2 linked regions of the Oryctolagus cuniculus genome follow. The protein of the gene in region 2 purifies or fractionates together with the protein of the main gene of each other region. This does not show direct contact. Links are inferred from orthologs where the notes say so. Each region holds a gene or a part of one and is shown on either strand. Other genes may lie near its edges. The genes, in order: PDE6D and RAB28.

What was found.
Region 1: the proteins of RAB28 (region 2) and PDE6D purify together in Homo sapiens (affinity purification with mass spectrometry; 3 studies listed by BioGRID and IntAct, with this or other methods). This does not show direct contact. The link is inferred for Oryctolagus cuniculus from reciprocal best matches to the Homo sapiens genes RAB28 and PDE6D.

The regions. Positions count from the first base shown.
Region 1 is NC_091434.1:7,549,358-7,553,778, forward strand, and holds the start of PDE6D (retinal rod rhodopsin-sensitive cGMP 3',5'-cyclic phosphodiesterase subunit delta), read left to right. Parts: upstream 1-1,577; 5' UTR 1,578-1,787; coding exon 1,788-1,837; exon of another isoform or gene 1,838-1,922; intron 1,923-4,421. UniProt on the Homo sapiens protein: Promotes the release of prenylated target proteins from cellular membranes. Modulates the activity of prenylated or palmitoylated Ras family members by regulating their subcellular location.
Region 2 is NC_091433.1:8,526,504-8,531,055, forward strand, and holds the start of RAB28 (ras-related protein Rab-28), read right to left. Parts: upstream 2,937-4,552; 5' UTR 2,700-2,936; coding exon 2,625-2,699; intron 1-2,624.

The sequences.
Region 1 (4,421 bases), on a different chromosome or scaffold from region 2:
TTCACATACGTGAAAAGTGTTCCCTTACCATATGTAATATTCTATCTCATTAACAAAATATTTTTAGATAAAATTTTTAACAGAAAATCCTACCCATCCCTCAAGCTCAAAGGCCACCTCCTCCATCAACTTTGGCCAGCTATAATCAATCTCTCCACCAGAGCCCCCCGTGGCATACTGCTGTCACCTTGATGCCCTTTGTCACGCTCCATCCTGATTCTCAGTGGAGTCTCCCTAACTCAAATAGACGGTCATCTTTGTGGAGGCGGGGACCATGTCTTCTACCCACTAAGTGCCCGACAAATCACAGAAGCAGAAAGCACGTTTGTTGAATTACCCAGAAGGAAAAGCTGAGTGCAGAGGGTGACAAGCTGGTGAAAAGCTGGGTGCAGAGGGGGACGAGAGGAAGAAAGTCCTAGGAAAACACACAGAGCATCTCCCAGCAAGCCCGGGCTCACCCTGCGATTTTACCCACTTCCTGAAATCACATCAAATGTCACCTTGAGTGACAAAGAAAGAACAAATCAAAAGACCAAGTCCTACCAAAACAAATATCACACACTTCCTCATCTGCCAGAAATCCACCGAATAAATGCTTTACCCAACCTCTGGGTGTTCCAACCTTGGATGGGCAAACTACTCAACAAGGCGGGCAGTAATCGCACTGCCATACTGCTAAAAATATCACCTCCCAGGCTGCGGGCGACAGACTCGGGGCCGAATCCTAACTCTGCCCCAACTTGCAGTGACCTGAGGCCGGTCTCTCGCCTCTCTGGGCCTCAATTCCCTCGCACGTAAAAACAGCAGGGGCAGGATTAGCAAATTCTTTCAAGCACCTTCCCGTATTGACAGAGCACACAATCGATAGCTCTCCTGGTCCGAGGCAGGAACACACCAGAGGTCCCCGCAAAACACGCAAACGGCGCCCCCGTCCAACAAACAAGCACGGTTTGAAGAAGTCGTTTTGTTACATTCTTTCGTGGTTTAATCAGTGTTTTTGTTGTTTGCAACCTTACCATGATTTGCAGGCGATTTCTGAGTTCCATGTAAACAGAAGTTAATTCTCTGTGGGCTGTCATCGTCTTTCACCGGGCCACAGGGTCTTCCCGCCTGGTTTTCAGTCTCGGGATGCAGAAACCACCGACCTTGCCGGCAGGTTTACGAATTTGCGCACACTGCGCGGCACACTGGAGCCTAAGTTACAGAGCCTCGGGACGCGACGAATGCTGGGATTTGTAGTCCCTGGGCCTCTCTGCTGCGTGCTGGGATCTGTGGTCCCCTGGCGCTCTACTGGAATTCTGGGAAATGTAGTCCTCTGCCCCTTCGCACAATGCAACCTGCGGTCGTCTCAGGAGACTAGTGAGCCCAGCAGCAGGAGCAGGCCCCTAGAGCCTCTGCAGATGTCAAGCCAAGCCCCCACTGGGGCTAACTCTAGGCAACAACACCCAGTGAAAATTTTGTCCTATGGGACTTCTCGGGGAGGGCGCTTCCCATGGATGCTCTTCGTCCCCCTGCGAAGCCGCTGAGCGTTGCTATTGGCTGGTGAGAATGCCAATCGCCGAGGCGGGCTTTCCATTGGCTTAGGGGCGGGCGCTCCGAGACCAGAGGGAAGGAGAAGGATCAGGAGCGGGAGCTGAGGGGAGGGAGAGGCCGGTCCGGGTCTGGCCGCTGCCTCTGCTTGCCCGAGGTCTCCAGGCCGGGCTGCGGCTCTGTGCTCGCTTCCTGGGCACGGTCCGCGAGGCTCCGCAGGGCAGCGTGAGAGAGCCGCGGGCGGCGGCCGCCGCAACATGTCAGCCAAGGACGAGCGGGCCAGGGAGATCCTGAGAGGCTTCAAACTGTATCCGCCCGGGAGCGGGGAGGGGCCGGGAGGACTTGGGAGGCGGTCGCTCCCTGAGGAGACCGGCCGGGGACTGGGGCGCCAGGTGGGCCCCCGAGGAGAGGGGCAGCGAGGGGGGACAGGAAGGGGCCGAGGTCCCAGGCCCCGGCGCCACGGGGCGCGGGAGGCGGGCACGGGGGCGTCCTGAGGGCGGAGGGGGACGTTGGCGGGAGCCGCGGGCACGGGGGCGAAGGAGCCCCGGGGCCTGGGCTGCGAGGGGCGCCGGGCGCCGGCGAGGGGTGTCGGGAAGCGGGCTGGGCTCGGAGCTGCGGCCGGGAGGGGCCGCGGCCCGCCGGGGAGGGCTGAGGGGGCGCGGCGGGCTGGCCTCGAAGCCCGGCGGCGTCTTTGGCGGGAAGCCCGCCCGGGGGAGCAGAGAAGTGACTGGGAGTGAACGACCTTGCGTGGGACCAGCGCCGATGCCTGGCATTAAATACTCTCGCCCCCCCCCCTCCACGCCTCACCCCGCCTCACCCCGTCTGGTTGCCACAACTTCTTCTGCTCACTTGTGGCTTCCAGGGCTGGAGTAGCAGAGGGCGGTGGGGGGGCGGGCGCCGCTCGCCTCTCGGCCCCTCGGGTCTTCCCTGCAGCCCGGCGAGGACGCGGAGCTCGCGGGTGGTGGGATGCCTCCAGGTGCCTTGGCCGGGGTGCCTTAGGGGTGCCTGCCGCCGGGTCGTGGCGGAGCTGTCCAGCAAGGGTTGGCTTGCGCTGGGGACCCGGTCAGGTGTGAAGTCCCTGCCTCGGGCCTGGGTGGAGCCGGTAGTTAGAGAGCTTTGTGTTTTCGTGGAGGGTTAGTCTGGCCAATGTGATCTTGCATATTCCAATTTTACATTCTCCTACTGACCTTAATCTCTTCTTAGCACCCTATCCGTTCAGTGAGGAACATTCTTAAATATCGCTTTGGGTGAAAATACCGGCATCGCTTTGGGGCCCCTCCCCTGGGTGCTTAGCAAAGCACTGTTCTCTGACCCCCACCTGTCGGGTTGTCACAGTGCCCATTTCACCCCTACACATTTGAATTATTTTGTCATAGCCAGAAACCAAGTTGGTAGTAGAACACAGTGCGAGAAGAGGGTCAGGAGGTTTGGGATGTACAGATGAAAATCTCCAGTGGAATCCTGTTAGGCTTGTTTAAAAACCCAAGGCTGTGTTAGCCTTGCAGACTTCATCCGTGCTCAGCTTTCAGTACTTTCATGTGGTGGAGTTTAGGAACAACCTCTCAAAGCTCCATGTTCCCTTCTGGGTTTCTCTTCATAATGGAGCCTCGACAGGGATAGGCATAGCTCAAGTGTTCGGAGAGCTATGACATGGATTTTATTTTTTCTCTTGCATACTTTATACTTAACATATGTGTTGCAGACAGTAAACCAGAGAATTTGAGATTTTGGATTGCAATTAATGTATTTCTGAAAACCCGGAAGGTGGCTTTTGAGCAAGGCAGAAAAGGAATGCTTGAGCTTCTCACCATTCGTTCAGTCTTGGCTCTTGAACTTGTTGAGAAAGAAGCGGAGGACAAATATGAAAGAGTAGAGAGCAGGAGGTGTCAGCCCACTGGCAGGAATGGGGAATTAACCAGTTCAGCCGTGATGTTGCTGCGTCGACAAACAGGCTTTCAGGGAAAGTTTGAGTGGAGCTAAGTAAGCCCTGAGACAGGAGAGCAGCCGCATAAAGTTGGGAAGCAGTGAAGTGAGAGTGCTGGTCCTCCGTGTCCTTTACTGGCATCTGAGGATTAAGAGAGAAAAGGAAAGCAAGAACCATAGGATTTGCTGCCTTGGAATTCTAGCTTTACATTCCTGACCCCATATCCCTGCACAACTTCTGTAACCTCTACCTCAGTTTTCTCATGTAAAAATAAGAATAATAATACCTGGTTGTGAGATGAAATGAATTGATCTCCAAAGTATTCAGAAAAGCACCTGGTGTAAGCATCGTGTGCTAGCTATTGTTGCGAGAGAAATTCCAGATCATTTCTCTTGCATTTTAGTATTGATCCTTTGCCTATGAAGTATGTTGCAAGTATTTTTTTCTCAATGTATTGCTTGTCCCCTTCTTTTGTTGAACAGGATTTTTAAATTATCATTCCAGATTTATTAGTATTTCCTTCTTCTGCATGTGGCATATCGTTTAAAGAGAACTTCTTTATCCCAAGATTAATCAAATAGCCTGTTTTCTTCTCTTTTCAATATTTAGCTCCTCAGCCTAACTGCAGGGTGTTTACATGTGTGTGGTGGAGATCTAATCATTGCTTCCATAGTCGTCCCAGGACTATTCACTAAATAGCTGCTCTGTCCTTTCCTCACTGTTTTGAAATGCCATCTTTGTCTTATAGAAAGTTTCTATAAGAAATGGATTTTCTTTTTAGAATATTTCTATTTCATTGATCCATCTGTGCACATTTAGTTTAATTACTATAGTTTTATAGTATGACTTAGTATAGTCCGCAGAAGGATTGGCATTTCATGAACAGAGTACATGTGTTTAAAGTCATTGTAAAGGCCCCATAAATATTTGTGTTCCTTTTATTCACACAGAACATTGCCCATCTGTC
Region 2 (4,552 bases):
AACACACAAAGCATTCAATAGGTTTTTATTATATCATCTCCTGACATCTGGCTGTAAAAATTAAACAGAGAATCAATTTAATCAATGGGAAGCACTTCCTCTTCAATTATCTAGACTTCATGCCATCTTTCACATGCAATTAATTTCTCACAAGTCACTGCATAAATAACCTTCTTAAAGATTTATGAAGTGAACAATCAGCTTCCTCATCTAAACCATTTTTATCTGTATGTTTTTTGCTTGGAAAAGTGCTAACACTTTTTAATCATAATTCATTTACATTAAAAAGACAACCAAAAAACAATACTGTGCCTCAAAAACCCTAGGAAAATCTGTACTGAATCAGAGTAAAGATGAAATAGAAACATGTGTTAACAGAGGGAGGAGCTAGATTTCTCTTGGAGAAACTGTTAGTGGTTATCTCAATGCTGTATTCTATTCCTCTGTCAGTGTGTATAAAAATGCCCAGAGTTAGAGGTAGTAGGAAAAACTAATGCTAAAAAACTGACCAAACGTTATATTTGAATACAAACAGGGATGAAGAAGAGACTGAGTTCATAAAAGGACAGCAAAGAAAACAGAATAGGAAGGTTTGTGGCTGCCAATAATTTGCAACCTGAATAGCATATGGGGAAAAATGCACAATAAGGAATAATGGAAGGTTAAGTTTCAGATACTTGTGTTAGGAAATTTCCAGCAGAAAAAGATGTTACAGCTTTGAAGTAGAATATTTAATTAAGATGAAGATCAACTCAAAACACCATTAAAAAAGAACTATTATTCTATGAATGAAAATGACAGTCTTAATTCAATACTGGAAAAATTAGTATGTTGGTCAGGATTGTAAACTGAGATGAAAAATCATGATTATTCATATTAAATTAGCAACAGGGGGAAACATGCATGATAGTTTAAATAAAAACCTGGTTACAAAATTATGAACAAAGTTCAACTAATACATATGCAATAAATATTGGAAGAAAAATGAACAAAAGTTTAAAGAATTATGGAAGCATGTAGGATAATGGACACTTTTGAGGTTTTTTGAACACATGCATGTGTCATAGAAGGTCATAGTTTTAAATTAGAAATGAGCTCAGTTATGAATTGATGCAATAAGATTTAGGCGGTTTTCAAAAGAAAAATCTAAATGATGAGAAAACTGTTAAAAAAAACTATCTTTTTTACTGAAGCTCTTAGAGACAGTGCTGATTTACCTGCAACAATTTGTTCATTCAAAAAGTCTGTGTACAAAAACTCATAAAACGACCCCAAGTTCTTTTCTTCTCCAATACGTTTAAAGGGAATGCCAGCATAGTAAGTTGTTTTCCTCAGCAACAAAATCGATAACAACCTACCCAGGAGGGCAGGAATTCACCGCATGCTCCCAGTTGTGCACGCGAATGGCATCTTTCCCGGGGCTTTAGGAACTCAAATTTCAGAACCAAAGGCAGGAGCCACTGTGCAGCGCCAACTGCTCGCGAGGATGCACAGAAGCCGTCACCACAGAAACCGTGTGCAAACTACACCAGCACCCAGGCGACAGGAACCTGGCGGAAATAAGCACTTGCGTTTCTGAGGGCGGCTGGGCAGAAGGGAGGCACACGTTTGCAACATCCCCAGAAAAAGGGTTGGCGCCTTCGACAGACGCGACAGGTGTGCAGGCGCCCCAGGCACAGCCTCCTTGGAGAGCCTGCAGACCCTCTCTCCCCAGGCAGGTGTGGGGCCACAGTCATTCCGTTGCAGGAGTCCCCTAACCTCGGGCCAGGCACCCGCGCCCAGGGGGCTGAGCGACTGCGGGAGATTCTCACGCTCTCATTCATCCGCCCTGCACCGAGGGGAGGTGAGACTGCAAGACAGGGCTCTCTGCGTCACAGCTCCAGCTTCGCCCTGCGCTCTGCCCTCACCCTGTCCACACCAAGGGCTCAACAAGTGCTCGTCGGACAGGTGCTGTGCTGAACAGGTACCAGCAGCTGCGGCTTCACCGAGTGCACACCGAGTCCTGAAAGCCCTGTGTGTGTATTTGCACACGGAATGTGTATTTGCACATTGCACCCTTCGCGGTGACCCCTATCAATATCCATCTCACACATGGCGCACAAACAGCTTAGCGAGCCGCCCTCCAGTGACCCAACCAGCTAAGTGCCGGAGCTCCTCGTTCGCACCCGGGGAATCTGATTCCAGAGCCAAGCTCTGTGCACGGGGAGGCACCAGAAACGGGAAAGGGCGGGGAGGAGCAGGGTGTGACCCCGACTTGGAGTAAGAGGAGGCGAGATGCCTTGGGCGGATGCCTGCCAGTCCGAGAGGCGAGGAGCTGGACAGCTTCCCGGCGAGGCGAGGCTGGCCCGCGCCTTGAAGGAGTTCGAGATGCAGGCAGGGAGTTGGAAACGGGCTGGTTTATTTACTCATTTATTTATTTATTTATTTATTTTAAGGAGGGAGCTGGACAGCTCTCGTCGGCCTTAACCAAGCGCGCACTTCGTGTCTGCCCACAGGCCACGACCACACACGGGCCCCGGCCTACCGGCCCCGGAACTCGGGGTAGCGAGGCGACGCCGGGGGTGCGCCGGGGCCGCGCCGGGGGTCCTTCAGGCCTGGTTCGGCGGGCCCGCTCGAGGACTGACCTTCCCGGAGGTGCCGTCCCCCAGCACGACGATTTTCAGCTGCCGGTCCTGGCTCTCCTCCTCGGAGTCGGACATGGTGTCCCAGGAACCAGGCCTGCCCCCCCGAGGTGGAAGAAGGAAGGGAAGCAGGAGGCCTCCAGGGGCGGGGAACAGGCGGAAGGCAGGCAGTGGGGGCCGAACTCCCCGCCCCGGTGTCTCAGCAGCCACCGGAGGGATTCGGGGAGACTCGCTCGCCGGGCGCCATATTACCCGCCGCCCCGCCCCTCGGCGCGGGGCCCCGCCCCCTGCGCGTCACGCCGGGCGCGCGCCTCCGCCTCTGCGCCAACCCGCTCCGACCGCGAGTCCCCCAGGCGAGAGGGACCACCAGCCGGCCGGGGCTGGAGGCGGGGGAGTGTGGAGCGAGATGGTTGAGATACTACGCCGCCCTTGCAGGGGCAGTTGGATAAAAGAAAAGAAGAGAGCGCATCCTTCAAATTAAGTAGACAAGATGGGCTCAAAAGTTCTCTCGGAGGCGTTCATTCACATTCCCTTACTTCCCCGCGTGGAGAAGGTCCCTGAAGCTAATGGTTTAGTCCGAAGGGGCGGACGGGCGACGTCAGGATGTGCGCCCGGGTTGCCATGGAAGCCAAGAGTCTGGTGGGAAGGCGGCGGGGCGGGGCCTGTCTCTGGGCGCTCGCGACGCGCGTGGAAGGGCCTGGGGCTGGGACAGGCTCTCGAGGCGGCCAGCGTGGGACGGACTCTGGCCCTGCTAACTTTGTCCTCTGAAGTCCCAGGTTTCGTCGTGGGAGCTCGCGCCGTTTCCTGGTGCAAGATCTGTACCCCAGGGCGGCGGTTCCCCAAGTGGGAGGTCCCGAGTAAATCAAACTAAGTCTTCACGGTAATACAGACGCCCCGTTGGCCTTTTCCTCGTCCATGTTCTCGGAAGTTTGCGTTTTCCCGGAGGATACGTGTGTTTGACGTCATCACAGCCAAGGGAGCAAGTGCTTGTTACTCTGTTACGAAGCATTTCTCAATTCTATAGATCAGTGGTAGGTGTAAGCCAGATAAACAGAAGCTCTTTGGAGTCCATAGTTATTCTTGAAGCGTATAAAGGGGTCCTGAAGCCAAAAAAGAAAAATTGAGAACTGCTGCCTTGAATGATCTCAACCCAGGAGGGAAAGTAAATCACGTGACTGAAAATTGCAGTGTAGTGAGAAATGCTACAATAAAAAATGCCCGCCCACTACGTCTCACTGTTATTCATTTCACCAGGATTGACACCTTTACTCATAGAAGTCCTGCATTTCACACGTGAGGAAGCTCAAATCACCAGACAGTAGGCCTACAGAGACTATGGGGATCCAAACGGGAAAACCGTGCAGTGAGAAGCGCCCATCACCAGAGGCAGCACAGCAGCCCTAATCACAAACGCCTGCCAGGCAGAGTGTCTCTTCACCTGTCCTCAGGACCTGAATTACGATTAGTTTCCAGTTCGGTCCTCAGTTTTACCACCACCATCGTCACCGTCTTTATACATCACTGGAGTTGTTCATGAAAACTAGAATCCAAACTGTACTTGAATACATTCACATTCAAGTTTATTCTTTCATGAAGCTACGTGGACTATGGATAGACAGGTCTGGCTGATAGGATAATTTTCTGGGGCTGGCATTAAGGCACAGTAGGTTAAGCCACTGCCTGCATGCTGGCATCTCCACTTCCCATCCAGCTACCTGCTGATGCACCCAGGAAGGCAGCAGAAGATGGCTCAAGTGCTTGGGCCCCTTCCAGCCGCCTGGGAAACCCAGATGAAGTTCTAGGCTGCTGGCTTCAGCCTGACCCAGCCCTGGCTATTGCAGCCATTTGAGGAGTGAACCAGCAGATGGAAGATCGATATTTCTTGCTCGCTAACTCTACCTTTCAAATAAGTATTAAAAAATAATCTGAGG